Linked DNA regions of Danio rerio. The protein of the gene in region 2 binds, or shares a complex with, the protein of the main gene of each other region. Links are inferred from orthologs where the notes say so. Each region holds a gene or a part of one and is shown on either strand. Other genes may lie near its edges.

Region 1 (10,550 bases), on a different chromosome or scaffold from region 2:
AAATACAAAAATCAACAATACAAAATCTATTCAATCTATTGAATCAATCAATCTATTTAAAAAAACATAGGCTATAGGCACGATAGGCTTATACATTATAGGCTTAAATTATAGAGAGAAATAACAGATGAACTGAGTCTGGACTCAGATCATGAAGACAATTTGGATCTTTCAAGGTGCCAATGCAGAAATGAACAAAACAATAGGCCAAGATTAAAATATAGAAAAGTTATCAGATGGTAATTTCGGTCAACTTTCTTAACAGATAAACAGTCCTCAGTAATATTTCACCATGCTTTTTCTATCGCATTTGACAAAGCCAACATTTACTGGAATGACATCCCACCCTACTCATAATTCTCTCTTCATATTGCCGAAAATATGGCTATTAGCCTAAATAACCATAAAACACTGTGATATAGCCTGCTTTGGTGGATCATTTTGCTTTCTCACTACAATCAATCTGCTCCAGAGTTCATTTTAATCAAACATTCGTTAGGACCAATTAATTTGGCATAAATATTATTGCAACTGCAGGTTTCACATACGCCAAACAAACCACCAACTGGGCAACTGAGACAAGTTATGAAACAAACGCCTAAGTGTGAGGATAATGAGAAAAATTACTGCGCTGAAGTGTACGCATAACTTAGGTTAGCAGCATATATTCAACACATATTGTTGTGGAGTCCACCAAGGCTCGGTTTTGATAAAAAAAATAAATGTAATAAATTAAATAATAGAGGGGTATTATTTAACAACAAAAAACGTTTTTCCAGCACAATTCAGAGGGTTTCATTTTTACTTCAACTGGACTTTGATGAGCATTTGAGTGAGGGGAATATAGTCCGTCTAATTTCAAGTTAATTTTTTTTCTGTTGATAACAACATACAATAATAAATTGTGTAAATTACTTTTAAAAACTACTGTAAAACACTAGCAAAGCAAACAACCTATAGTTTGGGCTTAAGCTTGTAAGAAAGCTGTAAATAAAATGGGTTGCATTAAAAAAAGTAAAAACCAAGTTCTCAGAAGACTTGGTTCTTGGTTAGGCAGACTGATTCCATGACTTTGTTCCCCTGTCACCATTGCTGCTGCTACATTACTTTCCATCTTTGAACCATCTGTGAAGATTGGTATGTGCTGAGAATATTGAGTTCTGATATCCAGGTATTGTTGTTTGTACATATTGGGATGAGTAACTCCTTTCTTCTGCTGTCCTAGCTTGCACACATACGAGTATATAATTAGCATTTTATTACTAAAAAGACTGAAAAGGAGAGTCTTTCATTGCAAAATCCTTTCATAACTTGGAGCAGATATGGAGCTGTCTAAGAGAAGTGTACTGTAGCTAACACTGTGACTTCTTGGTTACACAAGCACACTATAAAGGGTTCATGTGCTGGTGCTTTCACCCTCATGCATAAACAGCACCATTAACCACCTGCCAAAGGGATCGTTCAGCTCACTTGCCAATGTCTGACTGGCACACTGGCATGCTAAAAAGAGAAGCCTGCTTCAGCAGCATGAAAATGAGATCTTTCATAACAAACTACCTTAGGATGCTGAAGCAAACCAAACAGCCTTACAGGTATCAAATGCTTATTTAAAATGAAGTTACTAGAAGTTTTTATCTAAATGAAAAATGATGGGATGTGGTGACGTTTATAGCTGAAATTATAGAATATATGATGGGTAAAGATTCTCATGCTCCTGAATTTGGTTTAATATATACACAGTGATTAGGGCTGCACAATATTTCGCTTGAGCATTGACATTGCAATGTGTGTCTCCTCAATAGTCACATAGCAGTATTAGATAATTTATTAAAAATCAAATGATAATAGCATTATAAAATATTATTATTTTGAAATTATTTATACAATGATGACCATATTATTTTACAATTGATTGTTTAATTTCTGTACTCAAATACTGTTAGACTACCGTTAGAAACTATAAAGCACTGTTTATTTAATTTAACTTTTATCTTTAATCTGTTGTATTTACATACAGTATGCTTGTAATTTATTATAATTTATGCAAACACACTGCATAGAAAAGATTTGATCATCCCAATCTAAGTGAATGAAACCTTTTCAAATGGCTGTTTAAACAATCTGGTGAAATTATATTCATATCACAAGAAATTAAACAGAAATTATCGCAATGTCAGATTTTCCCAATATTGTGCAGCCCTTAACAGCGATATTATTATTTTTTTTATATTTTAAATGACTTCCTAATTAATTATATTTTAAAGTAAAAGCAATATTTAATGTACAGCATTGATATTTCTTAACATTAGCTGATCACGAAAGTTCATGAAATGTTTTTTGGCACTTAAAAAAAGACATTGTCTTTTACAGACATACCTGGATAATAAATGTTATAGGAAACATTTAGTACAACACAAAAAAAACAACAAAAAAACCCATTCGGCCATGAATTTCCATTTCTTTTAACAATTATTTTCAGGATAAACTGGGAATTGCACTCAGGTCATTGTGAGCACCATGGTGCTATATGTCAGCGCACTAAACCATTGGGTTATTGGCTCCAATAATTTCAATTACTTTTTTTAGTCGTTTGTGTGATTATTTTTAATACTGGGTATATGCAGAAATCCAAAAGGTAATTTCAATAAATAAATTAAGTTAAATAAATCAATGAAGCACAACCATGCAACAGAACTCAGATAAGTTTGGAAGAAACAAAGCTTGAAAGAATAAATTATGCTGTTGTTTTCAGCGACATGTTTCAGCCACTGTTTTAGCTCATCTTTCTCCAACCAGGGGTAAGCAAACTTACATTTTCCCATTTTGCTGTCTGTTTCGCTCTATGGTTTCGCTACATGTGGAGAGCATCACATGACCTTTCCGCATTTGTCGCAAAATACGTGACAAAACCCGGACGGAGGAGCTTGGTCGGACGCGCCCAGGCCAGAACTAATTATGTGGATCGAGCACACCATTGTTAATATTAGGAGAAAAATAAATATATTTATGCTTTTATTGGAGTCAAACACTTTGGACAACGCTTGAACAAAATTTAAGATCTCGTAAAATGTGATTAAGACTTTTAAATACCTTTAAAAGGACTTAATTTTCTCAGCATTGATTTATCAACTTTTAACTTTAAGACCCCGCAGACTCCCCATTAATAATTTTAGAAACAAATTAGCTGTTGACAACAAATGAATATTGCATTTCTGAATGTATTTTGCTTGTTTATTTTTATTTATTGTATTTGTGTGGTTGTGTGTAAGCCTCTGTGTGAAGACAATTATGTTAGTTAGACAAAGGTTTTTAGAATTAAATTGAAATATTTTACATATAAAAAACTGAATATTAACTAAAAGAGCTTATTCCACTTATAAGGCTGCACATTGTATAATTTCAGCATCGATATCGCAATGTGCGCAATTACAATGGTCATATCACAAAGATATGCGACTCCAGTCTGAATAATAGTTGACCAGGAGCCTCATCATTGTATTTTATTACTGTATGTATATGGAATTTATGATTTATGCAAAAACATCTCTTACTTAAAATTTGTCTTGTTTCTAGTCCAAATATCTACATGTCAAAGTGAAAACAAGATTTTTTCCGCTAGCCCACTGGCAGATCATTTCTGTAAAACTAGCAAAAAAAAACCAAAACTCTTAATTTTCACTTATTTCTTCTGATGGTAAAATTAAAACAATATTTTACTTGATCTAAGATTTATTTTCTTGATATTTGGATTGGAAACAAGACAAAAAATAAGAAAAGCATATTTATTTGCATTGTAAATATTTAATTTCCGTGCCTGAATACTGTTAAGACTCCCCAGAAAACCGTCAAATAGAGCTATTCTTGTGAAACTGTGTTCATATTGCAATATTTATCACAGAAAAACTAAATATCGCAATATCAAAGTTACCATTTCGTGCAGCCTTACTCCCTTCTATGACTAAAATGTTTATTCATTACCATTCTCCATGACATTAAATTTGAACACTTACAGTAAACGTTCTGAATATACAGAATGGAAACTATGTGAACATTCCAAAACTTCCAACAATAAAGTATTTTGTGATAATAAAAGAGAGGTAATAGTGTCTTGTTTTAGCCCAAAACAAGCAAGTTAAGCTGTGATATTCATCTGACACATTACATCCTTCCATTTTGTTGCATACCAAACAGACAACGCTGCAAAATAAACCTTATTATGGTGAAACAATTGCCTAAATCTTTACTTTGCTGTTGGACCAGATTCGAACACACACTGCCCTGCATACTAACTAGACTGTGTTTATTATGAAGTCATAGCAACTACCTAATGTTTGCTAAACTAATTAGCAAGCGGCTGATATTTGGCAATCAGTTTAAGCTTTTAAATCAGTGCTGCTGCCAAAAACAATGTATTGTAACATTAGAACTAAATGACAAACTTAAACTATTATTGAATTTCTACTAAAACAAATGAAGTTCAATAAGTAACTTAATGGTGAATATATTGAAATATCTTATTTTAAATCGACTAACTGCAGTCAACAGTTACCAAATGCCCTGATATCTCAGGTATGTATTACGCACCAGTATGTCCACCTCAGGCCTGGTGGACGTTTTCCATGTTACAAGTTTTAGACACAAATGTTTAGAAATGAAAAGCCAAAAGAGAAACAAAAAGATACAAGACAAATGTCCAGAGACGAAAACAGACCTTGAAGAGTCTAGGGAAGACATCTGTTGGCTGTCCGCGCACCACAAAAAGTCTCGAATTCAGTTTTCTCAAACTTGTGTCCAAATCCTCCAAAGATTCCAGTAAAAATCTGTGGAGAGAAATGGAAAAATATGATTTGAGCCAAACCTTTTGTTTCAAGATACCTTGACATTACAGTCTTTTTCAGTCCGAGAAAACAAGAATGATTTCTCACTAATGCTGTTCATTTTATTTTTCAGGCATAATCAGAAAATTATATATATATTTTAATGAACAAATAGTTGTACTTTAGGGCCTCATCATCAACAAATGGCTCGTTTTTAAAAATATATAATCAAGTTCTCCTAACATATTACTTAAAAAGCTTTAATTTGATTACATTTTTAAAAAATTGCTTTGATTAGTAACTGATGTTTTTGGACCAATATTTTTAGGGTGAATGAATAGTTTGCACTCATTTAAGCCATTAGTAAAACACAATGGTCAATTAAGATTATTATTTAACATAGCTGGTTAGAAATAATATAAAAAATAATACTTATCACCTATCAAAGCGTAAAAGAGAAACAAATTAAGGCCTAGATACTTTAGGGAACCTATTTGTCGTCTTGTTTTCTTACTTCAAAAGACCTCAATGTTTTTAAAGGAGTATAACAAGTATTACTTTAAGTTTGCCTGTATGTATTTTGACTATCAAAGTGGCAGAATCCACTGACTTGCATTTTACAAATCACGAAGGACCACAGCTTAAGCTAAACAAATCTTTACAATTTTACTTCAGAAAGTCACCTACATCTTTGATTGCCTTGTGGATGAGTAAACATACAGCAAATGTTATTTGCGGGTGAACTCGTTCTTCGAGGACAGCAGAAAGTCACAAATCTTATTCAATGGCTTTAAAAGACGAGACATTGGAATGAATCATAAACTTACGAAAGCTAACAAACATATTTTAACTAAACTAGATATTGAGTAACGTTATTGTCTTATTAATCATGCACAATGTTTATAATAATTATAATAATAATTATTATTATTACAACATAAGAAAAATGGGCACATAAACAAAATAATCAAAATATTTGACAACGTTTTGACAGATTTCACAATACATTATGTCTGGTTTGTTCATTCAAACACCGCATCCCTCCCTCGGCATGTCTGCTAAGACACAACACGTGAAAATACAATCGCTCCGTCACGTGACTCGAGCTTTTGCATACGAAAACAACATTTTACACACACTTTACATCAGTTTCAGTCTATAAAGATTTAGAGTTCATCGAGAAAACACTCAATGACGCAGTAACGAAATTGGTAATTTTAGCCGTTATATAAAACCGAAGTGGGCGTGAGCAAAACGACTAGCCTGTTATCATTAGCCTCCATTTGCTCTCATGGCACCGCCACGGAATTACACAATTCACGCAAATAAACATTAGTTTATCAATCGGTGTTTAAAAAAGGAAATAACATTTTAAATAGTTCAATCATTGGTGTTTAAGTTGAGTAACAAAGTTTGTTAAACTAACTTAGTCAAAACATCAACCAGGGCCGCACGCAAGCGTGTTAAGTTTTTTTATGTATATATAATAAATACGTCATTTACCACTTAAATCCGACATTCACACGAACATATTACGGTAAAATTACATTTCAGACTTACATATCAGACATAAGGCCAAAACAGCAGCGTTTGTGCAAAAGAGCTGCGCAGTTAACCGCTAACGTTACCATTTCCAATAATCACTAAAACACCAAAACAACATATCCTAATTTTCAACATAACCACAACACGCCAAAAAATAAGTGAAACCCACCTCCATCGGTTGACTCCCACGTTAGCCGAGCCTGCAAACCACGGGTCCAAAATATAAACACACCGTACAGTATCCGCGCCATTTAGAGCTTCCTGCAAAGCCGGATTATCATGAAGCCGCAGCCCTTTGCGAAACCAATGCACCGAATTCACCACCATAATAGCGCTTTATTCCATCGTAAAAGTTCCAAGGAAATCCAGAAGAGTAAACAATTCGCGATTTCAGCCGTCCTGCACGCACATTGTGGTTCAGTGTAGAGTTTGAGATGGGGAGCAGACACAGCAGACGCAATGGTTTTTTTCCGCCTCTCCCCGCGTTCATTGGCCAGCGGGCGGACACGTGTACGGATTACCGGAATGAGTGACTCGGGCCTCCGAGCTGTGATTGGCTCGGGCTCACGATGCAGGTCCAGCCCCGTCACGTTTCTTTGGTGTGTTGTTCGCCATGTTCATCGTCAAATTATGACATCAATTCGTGCAACTTGGTAACAACACTCAAGTCACGCGCAGAGTCAAGTGCTCTTTGCAAAATACCGTCTGCAGCGAGCAACGCCACACCACAGCTGGAGAATGAGGAATGTATTTCTCCCATACTGATGTGTGTGTGTATGCACACTTGCAGATGCCAAACATGTTTTATAAGAGGATCCTGAGCAAACGCAGTTGTAGTTGAGTGGTGTTTTTGCGCCTCCTCGCGGTTGTTCTTCACATTAACGAGATCAGATAAATAAAGGGTTCAGATTATGGTCAATGAACTTTTAAGGTTACTGTGGCTGAAATAGAGGTCAGGTTTGGCTCACATGCCCATGGGTCAGTGTTTCAACCTGTCTGACTAGCCTCTTTAAAAAAGTAATATGAACGAAACAAAGAATCTTTACAGTAAAATAATAAAAATAATATTTATGTATAACTGTTACAGTAGTACATTACTATACTATCTATCTGTCTGTCTGCCTGCCTGTCTGTAAATCAATCTATAATATAGTATTATATTATATAATGAGCAAATGTGTGGTAGAAAAAATTTAATTCTTGCAAATAATAACAATATAGATGTACACGAACATTGTAACAAAGAAATATATATTTTCAAATAATTTCTCATATAAAATAATAAAATGTATTGGTGAAAAAAGTTAATTCTCACAAATACTATTAATACTAGGGTTAATACTAGGGTTTCACTGTGGCACAGTCGCCTTGCGGCAAGAAGGTTGCTGGTTCGAGCCTCGGCTGGGTCATTTCTGTATGGAGTTTGCATGTTCTCTCTGTGTTTGCGTGGGTTTCCTCCAGGTGCTCCGGTTTCCCCCACAGGTTCAAAGACATGGCTATAGGTGAATTGGGTGAGCTAAATTGTCTGTAGTGTGTGTGTAAATGAGAGTGTAAGGGTGTTTCCCAGTGATGGGTCGCAGCTGGAAGGGCATCTGCTGCGTAAAACATATGATGGATAAGTTGGTGGTTCATTCGGCTGTGGCGACCCCTGATTAAAAATGGGACTAAGCCGAAACGTAAATGAATGAATGCATCTTTTAATACTATAATATAAATAATTGTGCATCAAAAGTGCAATAATGTAATCAATACTATAATAATACATTATTTATGTTACCTAGTTTGTGCAGCTCCACTCTAGCAACATGCATGTCTTATCTTTTATTTTTTATAAAAATAATAATTAGTTAATGCACAATGTTTTCTCTCTTACGACAACTCCGTCAATTAATGAGTAACTTTAACCAAGATGAAACGTGAGCTTAAACAAGTGAACTTTTATGCTGTAGTTGTGAATCCGTTCATGCACTGGCCTCTAGAGAGACTGATTTTTAAACTACAATTTACTCTATTTTCAGAGCTTCTTAATTTACCTCATCTGTATGAACTCCTTGTGCATAACATAATGATGAAGCAATACATCCTAGAGCAATTTTAATTCATTCATTCATTCATTTTCTTGTCGGCTTAGTCCCTTTATTAATGCGGGGTTGCCACAGCGGAATGAACCGCCAACTTATCCAAGAAAGTTTTTAGGCAGCAGATGCCCTTCCAGCCGCAACCCATCTCTGGAAACATCCACACACACACTCATACACTACGGACAAATTAACCTAATCAATTCATCTGTATCGCATGTCTTTGGACTGTGGGGGGAAACCGGAGCACCCGGAAGAAACCCACACAAACTCAGGGAGAACATGCAAACTCCACACAGAAACGCCAACTGAGCCGAGCAATTTTAATTACGAAACCAAATTATTATTGAACCATATTCATTTACATATTTCAGCTCTTCACTGACCATCCTCTTTTGTCTACTGATTTCTAGAACAGAAAGTAGACTTGTGCCTCTAGATCAGGGGTGCCCAAACTTTTTCTTATGAGAAAAGTCGGCTGTGGGCAGAAGGTAAATCAAACTGTATTGAGTAATTTCCTAATTTCTTTCCTAATATTTAAAGATAAGTTATATTAACTAATGCAGTCTATAAAAATGTCTGAATCTGAAATGAATTCATTACAGTGAAAGCATCAACAATCCCATTAATAACACCATTGAGTTCAATGCTGGATACACTAAACTGCACATGCCATTGTCCTCTATTTGTCGAGTGACAGCATTTACATTTTTAAAAATTTGATTCATTTACAAAACAAAGGAAAGGACAAAACAAACAAAAACAAAAGGTTACATTGAATTGAAATGAATGACCTCTGTCCTGTTTTTGCCTCATCATTCTCACTATCTTCTCAAATGGGATGGTGGGCCAAATCAAAGGTTAGCATTGGCCAACTTTGGCCCGCGGACCCTACTTTGGGCATCTCTGCTCTAGATAGCACTAAAAATGCACAATTCTTGACTTCTAAAATCTAAATCATTTCAGCATATGGAAGAAAAATATAAAAGAAGAGAGGATAAAAGAATAACAGTACTTGTAATCTGTAGAAATAGATTTAAAGAGTTCATTCTTGTAAATTATCTATCATCCCACACTGTAAAACATTTCACATTGGTTAAACTTACAAACTCAAAAAGCTCACCAGCTGCCTTGAAAATGTGTCTACTCAACTTAGAGAGACTCTTTGTTTCAATTTAAGATGTTGAGTTTCACAATAGGTGAATTACCAGTTTGTAAACATTCAGGATGCGTGCACATCGAGGTGGCAGAAAAAAAAACGCGAGTGCTAGCATTTACAGCGAGGGAATGACATCCAATGCGGAACAGATTTTGTTGTTGTATTAGAGATAAGTTATATTGAATACATATTATATATATATATTATTTCCATAATGCTTTCAGCGTATAATAGCAGCTAGGCACCCAGTGATAAGCACAGTTATTCTGCAAAATTAACGTTAAAGTGATCGGCATTCGTCTGACAGGTCCATTTGCGATAGCACCCTCCTAATGGATATTAGATAAGACGAAATGGCCAAGCATCCAGGCCGAAATATACGACAATCTCATTAAAACTCCAAGTGATTTACAAGAGAGAAGAAAGGCCTACAAGTCTGTATGCCAACAATTTTGTTCTGTGTGATCATGTGCAAGAAATAATGTTCCATGACATGTTGTGCTAAAAACGAGGTTCTGCTGAGCCTAAGACAAGGAAAGTAGATGGAACTGTACAAGGCCTGGGTAATCATCAACAAGCAAAAAGACTGCATTTTGACAGCGAACTGCACCTGTTCAGCAGGGTATGTGAACTTACATTTTAACATTTCATTCTAAGCATTCAGTGTCAACAGTTGAATTAACCATATTTAACTGTTTTTGCTGAAATCATTGCTGCAATCCAAAACGAGTAATGAGTATGATTCAGTTTAGCGTGAACTTACTTTATATAAACTGAGAACTGAAGAGTCCAGCATTTTTAATTAGGTCGTCACTCCATTCAGCTCTTATGATAGCTGTTAAATTTAAAATTTATGTTTTTTATTTTTGGACTTTCGATTATGACATCCTACCAGACAACGCGACATGTTTGCTATTGCAATTGGTCTTTTTTTTGCAACCGGTATGTGTG
Region 2 (9,786 bases):
GAACCAGATTCAGTTGGGCACAACCATTTTAATTTCTCCGCTGACCAAACGTCTTGTGCAGAGTTGCAGTCTCAGCGGCGGATACAATATGTGAAAAACTTCTAGGCAAACTATGATTATCTTATCATAAAGCTTTAAAAGATTTGTGTTAAAGTTGTGAAGAAAATGAATCTGACCTGCTCAAACCTGCTCAACTATGAAAAAGAAAACCTTTATATATGTAAACACAAACACATGCAAAGTGGATGTTTGCAGTACCTTCAGAGACTTGCATGGAGCTGTCAGCGTTCCTCTGCTTGTCCTCGTCTGAGTTTGAGGACGTGGTGTTGGAGGAGGATTGGCACTTTCTCTTCACTGTAATGGGCACGTTACAGCTCTCCAGATAGCTGATCAAGAGACACACACATCAGGTTAGCAAACGACTGAAGCAGGAGAAAATGTAAACTAAAAGCATCTTTGATCTGGTTAGTTTCAGCTTTATGACTTTGTTTTGTACCATTAAGACCCTATAATCATTATTTCCCGTGGTTTACGTGCACAACACACGTGCGCTAACTCTGTAGTTTTAACTCTTTGAAACCCAAGAGAAACACAATAAAAATATCAGTGTGTTCGCAGCAAAAATGTGTCATCTTCGTGAATTTAAAATATTTAAAAACGATATATACAGTCATTCACTCATTTTCCTTCGGCTTAGTCTCTGATTTATCAGGGGTCACTACAGTGGAACAAGCCGCCAACTACTCTGGCATGTTTTGCGCAGTGGATATTATATATATATATATATATATATATATATATATATATATATATATATATATATATATATATATATATATGTTATACAGTTAAAGTCCAAATTATTAGCCTTCTTGTAAACATTTATTTCCTTCATAAAAGTGTTGCTTAATGTTTTTTAATTTTAAATGAAATAGTTTTAATTATTTTGTAATAACTAAATGTTTTATTAAACAGAATTTTAAAGACTCTAAAGAATAAAAATTTTAGAGGAAGGCTAATAATTTTAACTTAAACTTTAAATATATATAGACACACACACACACACAAAACATAGCCATATCCAGGGTAAAGTGGATTAAAAAATAGTTCACTATAAAACAAAAATTTTGTCATAATTTACTCAGCAATTCTTCTCTTGTGTTCAACAGAATAAAGAAACTCAAAGGTTTAAAACCCCTCGAGGGCGGGTAAACTGATAATAAATGGTTCTTTCTGGGTGATCCATCTCTTTAAACCTGAGCAGGTCTCAATGCTGCGTCATTTTCCATGGCTTTAGGCTAGACATCCAGAAGTGTAATTCCAGCTCCTGCTAAATCTAATGTTCTCTGCTGAATCATTGTTCCTCCTGGCACACTTCATTCAGTCGCTTAGCATAACACGGTCGATAAGTGCATTACATTAGTCTGCAAGCGGAGACAGTCTCCAGCAGTTTCCGTTGTGACGTGACTGTGTGTGTGTGTGTGTGTGTGTTTGTACCGGATGACGCTGTCCAGGCAGCTGATCTGCTGATAGGAGTAGACGGTCTGGTCTTTGAAGGCCAGCTCCTCCTGCACCGCCGCTCGCTGCTCCTCCTGAGACTCTCTCCAGTTCACTGGATATGCAGAGTCTTTCGGTCGAACCACTGGACTTTTCTGAACAAACTCTGCAGGGGAGGAAGAAACAGGCTTGAGAAGGCTACACAATTACTCAAAATAAATTCTAAACTTCTGTAAAAACTGCGTTCTGTATTTTGTGATTCAAAGGACTTTTTTGTGTTTATTTACAGTTATGAATTGCATAATTTGACTTCACTTGTGATCTGTAGAGTTCTGTTGATGAAATTTCAACTCTTCAGTACAACCAAGTGCCTTTTAATGACAGTTTAGTGGTTTGAAACAATATATTGCATGAGAAAAAATAATATAGAAAGAATCAAGTCTGTTAAATAACAGAAAATGTGCTAACTTACTGGAAGTTTTTTTACAGGATGTCCCATAAAGAAGAATTTAATAAAATATTAAAAAAATAAAAATAAAATGAAAAAATGACGGTAAATGTTTTTGTTATTTTTGAACAAATTATTGAAATCTTACAGAATAAAACTATTCATTTATTACCATATATAACTAAAATCATGATGAAAATGACCTCTTAAAGGGATAATGCACCCAAAAATGAATATTCTGTTACATTTGCTCACCCTTTACATGTTTCAAACCTTCATGAGTTTCTTTCTTCTGATGAACACAAGAGAAGATATTTTGAAGAATGTTGGAAACCTGTAACTATCTGCTTTTCCTACTATGGATACCAATTTTAGCTTTCTTCAAAACAGCTTCTTTAGAGTTCAACAGAAGAAAGAAACAATAAACTCTGTAACCACTTGAGGACCAATAAATAGTGAGTAAATTTAATTTTGGGTGAACTATCCCTTTAATGTCCCTCGAACAGTAATGCATACAAACTAATTATACATTGAATCTTTTATTCTGTTCAGTTCGACTCTGTTCTGTTCCATTCTATTCCATTCCATTCTATTCTATTGTGATCTATTCAGTACCACTCCCATCTGTTCTATTCTATCCTATTCCATTCTATACTATTCTATTTTACTCTAGTCTGTTGTGTTCTATTCAGTTCAATTCTTATCTATTCCATTCTACTCTGTTCTATTCCATTCTAACTTATTCTTTTCTATTCCATTTTATTGTATTCCATTCTTTTCCATTATACTCTGTCATTGTATTGTAATGTATTGTATCGTATTCTATTCTATTATATTCTATTCTATTCTTTTCTTTTCTATTCTCCTTTGTTCCTCTATCCCATCTGCTGAGGTTTCAATATCACAGTTGAATTTACAATCCAATTTTTGTTCATGTAAACTAATAGTGATTATTTGATACCAAATCTTGGAAATATTTGAGCACAGATTGCATAAAAAAAACCACAGACTTTGATGACAGACGAGGTGCACAGATGGTAGCGGATATGGGTACATACTAGTAGGGCTTTTCTTGGACTGCAGCTCCTGGTTTTTCTGCATGTGAACGCCTTTGCAGATCTCCTGAAAGCTCCTCTGAGAAATCACACACACAAAAAGACTAATCAATCCACCAGACTTGCTTTAAAAAAGATAAGTATTAAGACTTGAGTAGCTAAATATAACAAAAATGATGTATCATATTGATATGAGTAGTGGAAACCCCATGAAAGACTTGTGGTATTTAAAAAACAAACATTAATTTCGGACAACGGCTGCACTTGATGGGCTAAATGTGAAATCCAGGGGCGCTTAGACTACTTGTTGTATAAAAATAAATGTATTTAACTGTCCGCTTACACTGAATCAATGACCACTTATCAGCATATCAACTCTTTCAGTAACTGTAGTTATCTAAAAGCCTTTAAAAGAAAAGACTTCACAAAAATCTCCTACCAAAATGAAGCCATTTGTCACTTTTATTTAAACAAAGTGTTACTGTGTGCTTAATCTAAGTTCTTGCAATGCTACATTTAAAATCAGATCTTAAACATGGCAATTTTATAATAGTGCAGCAGTTCACTGGAAGCGCTTGGGCTGGCTGGCTGAAATCTAAAAGTCTGTGTGCGTATACAACATCGTTTTTGCTAATTTAAGTGGATTAAACATAAAATCAATTAAAATGTCCCCAAAGAAACTTAATAATTGTGTTGATTTAGCTCATTTTAAATAAATAGTTTGAACAAACAGCAAAAAACATTCTTTCTAGTGTAGTTTGACAGGAGCTTTAACTACTTTTCCTACAGAGTAGCTTGTAACACAATGTATTATGATGGAAAGTTCTCAAGGCATGAATAAAAGTGACACATTTGACTTGTAAAAAATGGCTAGAATTGATGATGTGACTCACCGGTTTGGCTTTCCTGATGTCCTCTTCTTCATGTCTCTGTCGTGTCCCGTTACCATTGCTTTCACTGGATGACGCCACACTCAGCAGGTGATCATTACTGCCCAGACTGCCATAGCCACTTGAACCATTATTGTGCACCGGCTGCAAATCACACACGTATTTTTTAACCAATGCTTTTGATGTCTCTCATGGTCAGTCTATATTTAGAAGCATTAATGTGGATCTTTCTACTGTGAATGAGTTTGGGCACCTGCAGCAGGAGTCTGTGAATCTGCTCGGTGATGTCCTGGATGTCAGAATCCACGCATTTGCCTTCAGCAGTAGCCGGAGCTGCAAACACGTCTTCATTCACCGGACCCCTGGAAGAATGGACAAAATTTCAAAAAGGTGCACATTTAAAAAAAAAAAAAAAATCTAATATAAATGTAAGCAACACCAAAAGTTTGAAAATGTATTCATAAAAAATGAATTTAAAAATAAAAATGTCAAAATGAGTTAACAGTCATTAAAAAGTTAAGATAGCTGTGACTTTTTTGTAGCATAAAATGTGTCAAATCAGTGCAAAGTTAAAGTTCTTGCTAACGAATGCATGAGGCGTCCAAATTAATCAGACATTTGCAGACGACTTATCCCCAATACCACGACAAGGACTTTTTGAGCGCAAGGCAAAAGAATTGACATCCACCCAAAATGAGATGAGGGACATCATAGCTACTGAAAAGAAAATTTGTCAACTGATTTGCAACTAATATATGGCCAATTTAAAGGCCAAAGGATCATGTTTTTTTTATTTACAGATGGCTTACGGATGTTTTGCTTTTATATTTTACATTTTACACAGACTATTTGTGCATGAACATTTCTAGATATAATAATAAACTTACCGTTTGTTTGAAATTTTTTTTTTTTGTCATTCTTACTGCAAAGTATTATGAGCAATATTATCAATAAATGTTGAGGGGGGGCTTACAATATTTTCCAGCGGAAAAGGGGGTCTTGGGAACCATTGTTTTTAAGGTTTAGTGTTGGTGTGATTTTTTTATATGTAAAAAAAAATGCACAACTAAAAAAAAACAAGCAACGTAAATGTATACAACACCAAAGCTCCAAAAGTATGAACATTAAAAGCTATAACATAGTGTCAAAATGACCATAATGCAATAATGTGTGCTTGTTGAAGCTGCTTTTGGAACAGTAACCATAGTGAAAAGCGCTACACAGCTGAATGTAACTTACATGCGAACTTTATGTCTGCCGATGACGAAGGAAACTTTGCGGCTCCAGGGATTGACGAAGCTGGACCAGCTGGTGTCGATGGTGATGTACTCTCCGTTACGAGCACAAAAGCGGATCGAATGGTCAAAAGGCTGACCGGCGCACTGCAGGACTGAGGAGACACAAACATTTCATTCTCAAACAGGATACTTAAACTCCTTTCACTATAAACTAAAAGATTCACCATTACTTTAATATAGCCTTTTGAGAGAGAGTTTCGAATGTATTGTCATATCAGCATCTCTGGATATTTCATGCAAAACCAGATCAGATTTACATTATCACACATATAAATGTCTCTTTTCTATAGTAATGATATCAACAGCAATAAATAACACACAAAATAAAAATCTAAAACACTTCTTTAAGGTTTACTTTTGATAAAAATTGTACCATTTTAGAAGGATTCACATTGAAAAATATTTCCTTTAAAGTCTCTCTAGATAAAAATCATTATAATATATATTATATACATTAATAATATTCTATACCATGTTAATGCTATCTCAGATAACATTAAAAATTCCAAAAGTATATGTTTAGTATACCCCTACAGATCTCTCTTTTAAATGAATATTTTCTACAGGATGCTATAAAGTAAGATGTTTGTGTATACATTAGATTAGCTGCAGTTTTGGATTTGGTATTGATTTTCATGCAGTGCTGAAAAGGTTCTTAAGTTAGAAGCATTAAAAATGTAATTATAAAAAATAAACAAATAAACACATTTAAATAAAAAAATTAAACGATTTAAACTGAAACATAATTATAAAAATGATAAAAAAATAAACAAATTAAACAATTTAAACAAATCTAATTATTTAAAATATTTTTAAAAAACGATAAAAAAATTATTATTTAAATTTAGTAGCATTGAATTAAAGAAGCATAAAAATGTAATTATAAAAAAATAATAAAAATATTTTATTATTAATTTAATTTAGTAGCATTTAATTAGAGACAAATTTAATTAAATACAAATTTAATTATTAAAAATGATAAAAATAAAAGTTATACAAATTAATTATTTTATATAGTAGCAATTAATTTGAGAGTAGCTTCAAAACTGTTATTACGAATTAATTTAAAGATATATTTTATTATTATTTATATTTAGTAGCATTTAATTAGAAAAGCATAAAAATGTAATAATTAAACATAAAAAAATAAACAAATAAATTATTATTTTCATTTAGTAGCATTTAAAGAAGCATTTAGAGATGCATCAAACATGTTATTAGTAAAAATGCTAAGAAATATATATAAATTCGTTATTATTTTAATTTAGTAGCATTTCAATAGAGGAGCATAAAAAGTTTAATAATTAAAAAAAATTTATTATAAATTACTTCAAAGTCTATCTGTTATTGCAAAATCTCTCAATCATTCCTATTTGACAACTTTTAACCCATTTTGATGTTGGGATGCAGGTTGAGTATGAAGTATGTAGTACACTTAAGTTTTTCAGTGGTTATTAGTGCAGCTTATGTTTATTAGATTGGTTTTTGTGGAACAGATTTTTAAATGTTTTATTTCATATATTTATTTTTATTTAGCTTTTTTGGGGGTATTTTGTACTGAAATATAGCTGCAATTTCTGCAATAACTCAATCATGGTATTGTTATGCAGGAAATAATTAAACTTTAAACCTTAACTATATTTTATTGTGAAGAAAATCAGTGAAATAAACTCACTCTTCCTGTGGATGCCGAGCATGGTTGGCCGATCATTCGGATGCAGATGGAGAAGGACAGGTGTGCCGATTAAATCCTGTGGTAAATATCCTAGTAACGGAACAGCCCTACAGAGGAAAAAACCCTTCTGATTAGACTGGAATGGGAACAACAACTGTTATTACCTTTAATATGCATCAATATGAGAAATGGAAAAAAGCAGGTGTGGAGGCAGAGCGATGTGGTGTGAAACACTCATTTAATGTTTAAACAAGCAGCTGATCTTCATTATTAATGTTCATCAACAGAAGCATTAAAATCTTACCGCTCATCCACATCCTGAAACACACAGCTGGGAGTGTGTGTGGTGGTGAAGATTCGCTTGTCTGTGGGGATTCTGGGAGCTGAGGAATTAACAGAAAAAGATTTTAATATTACAACATTTTAGTATTTGAAACTGCTTAAAAATAATCATTTGTCAGTTTCTTTATTTGCCATCATGTTTGTTAACAAAAATAGCAGGCATGATTGCGTCTATTTGCACAGTGTTTGATTATATATATCAGATGTTTTGGGTCTGTAGCATTTATGATTGCTTGCTTTTTTTTTTTAAAATAACACTTTTATTCATCAATGATGTATTCACTTATTTTTTTTAAAACGAGTGCATGAAGATTCATCAAGATATATACGATTTCTAGTTCAAACAAATGCTGTTTTTTTCAATCTAACAGTTAGGCCCAATCCCAATTCTACCCTTTAGCCCTTCCCCTCAATTTGCGCGTGCCCGTGAAGGGGTAGTGGTGTCCCAATTCTCTTTAGTTTGAAGGCGTAGGGCTAAGGGCAAGAGGTATACACCCCTTCAAACGAAGATCTTTCAGGACCACACTCGAAACCAAGGGGTAGGGAAAATTTCCCAGAATACACTAGCTCCAGCTGCACCCAGAAGTAAGGAGATTATTTTTGTCATTATTACGATTTTTTTACAACAAACAAACACGTTTTAATATATTCATAACCGCTTTTGTGTTTTACCGTCATGCTTTTAAAAAATTTAGCTAAAATAAAAACAGCTAAATTTCGCAATCTATTCCCGTTCTAAAACCCCCGATAATAACTTCTGTACAGAAGTCCCACAACATTCTGACACTCGATGACACTGGAATACCCTGTCAGAAAAGTCTAGTGGCTGGGACTGGACATTTTACAGTGTCTGTTATAATGTTCATGCTGTTTCTGGTGTGTTTACATTAATAAATATGGCCACTGTAAATGCACAGTACAGTTACGATCTTATTGCCACATTAGATTGTTATGATAACATAATACATGCCTTCAGTAATTTCCTGAAGATAAATACCCCAAAATAACACAACTGGAATCACTACAGTAGTCGCCATCATCTGAACTCATATGAAGCAAGAGATCGCGAGGACATATGATGACGTGTGCAGGTGCTGTAATCCTGTCCCAATTCTTAGGGGTAAATTTTGAAGCCCTTCCCCTTAACCCTCGGTTGCAAGGGCTGAGGGGAAGGGGTAGGGGTAGAAAAATAGAATTGGGACTGGGCCTTAATTTCGGTTTCACAAAAACATAAAACATCACTTGTTTCATATTGATAATAATTAATAACAATGAATGTTTTTAGAGCGGCAAGTTGACGTTTATTTTACAGTATTACTTTGCTTACTGTATATTATATTACCCATAGTTTTCTATAACTGCACTTTATAACTTATATCTATATCCTGCACTTGCTGCTATTGCACTCCTTGTTAGACCTAAACTGAATTTCGTTGCTTTGTTTTTGAACATGTGTAATGAAAACAAAGTTGAATCTACTCTAATCTATTTGTGACTGAATTGTCTAAAGCATTTTGTAAATGTTTTGTAGTTTGCATTTTTTTGACAGCACCAATCATAACATGTACAATAAATACAACTGAGAAACAAAACAAAAAAATGAAAACATTTGGTCACACTGGACTTTGAGGGTGCATTTGTTGAATTTAAGGCCCCGTTTACACTAGTGCGTTTAGTTTTAAAACTGCGTTTTAGTTCAAAAACGATCCGCGTCCACACTAGTGTTTCACCTAGCGTTTCTGAACATATCTGCATCCACACTACGCCACCAAAAACGTATATCACGTGACCATTCGCTCACTCTGGGCATGCACATTCTAGTATAAACAGGAAGCATGTGTCTCGTTCTGCATTTGGTTATTGTAAGTCAACAAACTCCGGTTGAATAATGAACGCGATGGCAAAGAAAGCAAGAGAGGTATTTCTGTGGACAGACGACGAGGTTGAGTTGTTACTGAAAGTAACAATTGAATAACTGCACAATGGCGCCTAAAACTGACAATAGTGCAAACAACGCTCCCATTTCTGTGTCCATGTTGTTGTTTACAGTAAAGGCTGTTTTGCTGTCTTCCGGTAGCGTTAAAGCCATGTGTTATAGTCATGTGATAGGGGCTTGACGAATAAGGGAAGGATACGCAATGACACAAAGCCCCAATCAGGTAGCGAATCTCAGCAGCCCCGCCTCCGTTTTCAGATGTCTCCGTTTTCCCCCATCCACACTGAGACAGAGCAGCAGCGTTTCACAATGAAAACGGCCTCTCCAGCGTTTCCAAAACGCTCCGTTTTCGGCGCTCGAAAACTGCGGTGTAGTGTGAATGGATGGCGTAACCGTAGCAAAACTTATGCATTTTCAAACTAAAACGCATTAATGTAAACGGGGTTAAGTTACATTGCATCTACATGCCAACTAATTCTCATAAGATTATAAGTAGACTGTTAGGTTGGGGCAGGGGTGTCCAATCTCGGTCCTAGAGGGCCGATGTCCAGCATATGTTAGTTCCAACCCAAATTAAACACACCTGAACCAGCTAATCAAGCTATCAAGAAACTTCCAGGGAGTTGTGTTAAAGGAAGTTGGAGC

The links.
Region 1: the proteins of per2 (region 2) and cry2 are in contact, whole or in part, in a crystal structure (PDB 4U8H), measured with the Mus musculus proteins. The link is inferred for Danio rerio from reciprocal best matches to the Homo sapiens genes PER2 and CRY2. Residues at the interface, in NP_035196.2 of Mus musculus: Tyr1132, Leu1134, Gln1135, Asp1136, Pro1137, Trp1139, Leu1140, Met1142, Ala1143, Asn1144, Thr1145, Ile1149, Met1150, Met1151, Thr1152, Tyr1153, Gln1154, Leu1155, Arg1158, Asp1159, Leu1160, Val1163, Leu1164, Asp1167, Gln1168, Lys1170, Leu1171, Leu1174, Gln1175, Ser1177; in NP_034093.1 of Mus musculus: Trp58, Ser63, Ser64, Val65, Lys163, Leu166, Thr167, Lys169, Arg170, Glu215, Leu216, Gly217, Phe218, Asn330, Pro331, Ile332, Cys333, Ile334, Gln335, Ile336, Pro337, Asp339, Asn341, Pro342, Glu343, Leu345, Ala346, Lys347, Ala349, Glu350.

Annotation. Positions count from the first base shown.
Region 1 is NC_133200.1:14,797,623-14,808,172, forward strand, and holds the start of cry2 (cryptochrome-2), read right to left. Parts: upstream 6,794-10,550; 5' UTR 6,690-6,793; coding exon 6,532-6,689; intron 4,821-6,531; coding exon 4,712-4,820; intron 1,088-4,711; exon of another isoform or gene 1-1,087. UniProt on the Homo sapiens protein: Transcriptional repressor which forms a core component of the circadian clock.
Region 2 is NC_133177.1:51,604,828-51,614,613, forward strand, and holds part of per2 (period circadian protein homolog 2), read right to left. Parts: intron 7,247-9,786; coding exon 7,168-7,246; intron 6,971-7,167; coding exon 6,864-6,970; intron 5,281-6,863; coding exon 5,130-5,280; intron 4,253-5,129; coding exon 4,144-4,252; intron 4,035-4,143; coding exon 3,894-4,034; intron 3,080-3,893; coding exon 3,004-3,079; intron 1,664-3,003; coding exon 1,498-1,663; intron 387-1,497; coding exon 259-386; intron 1-258. UniProt on the Homo sapiens protein: Transcriptional repressor which forms a core component of the circadian clock.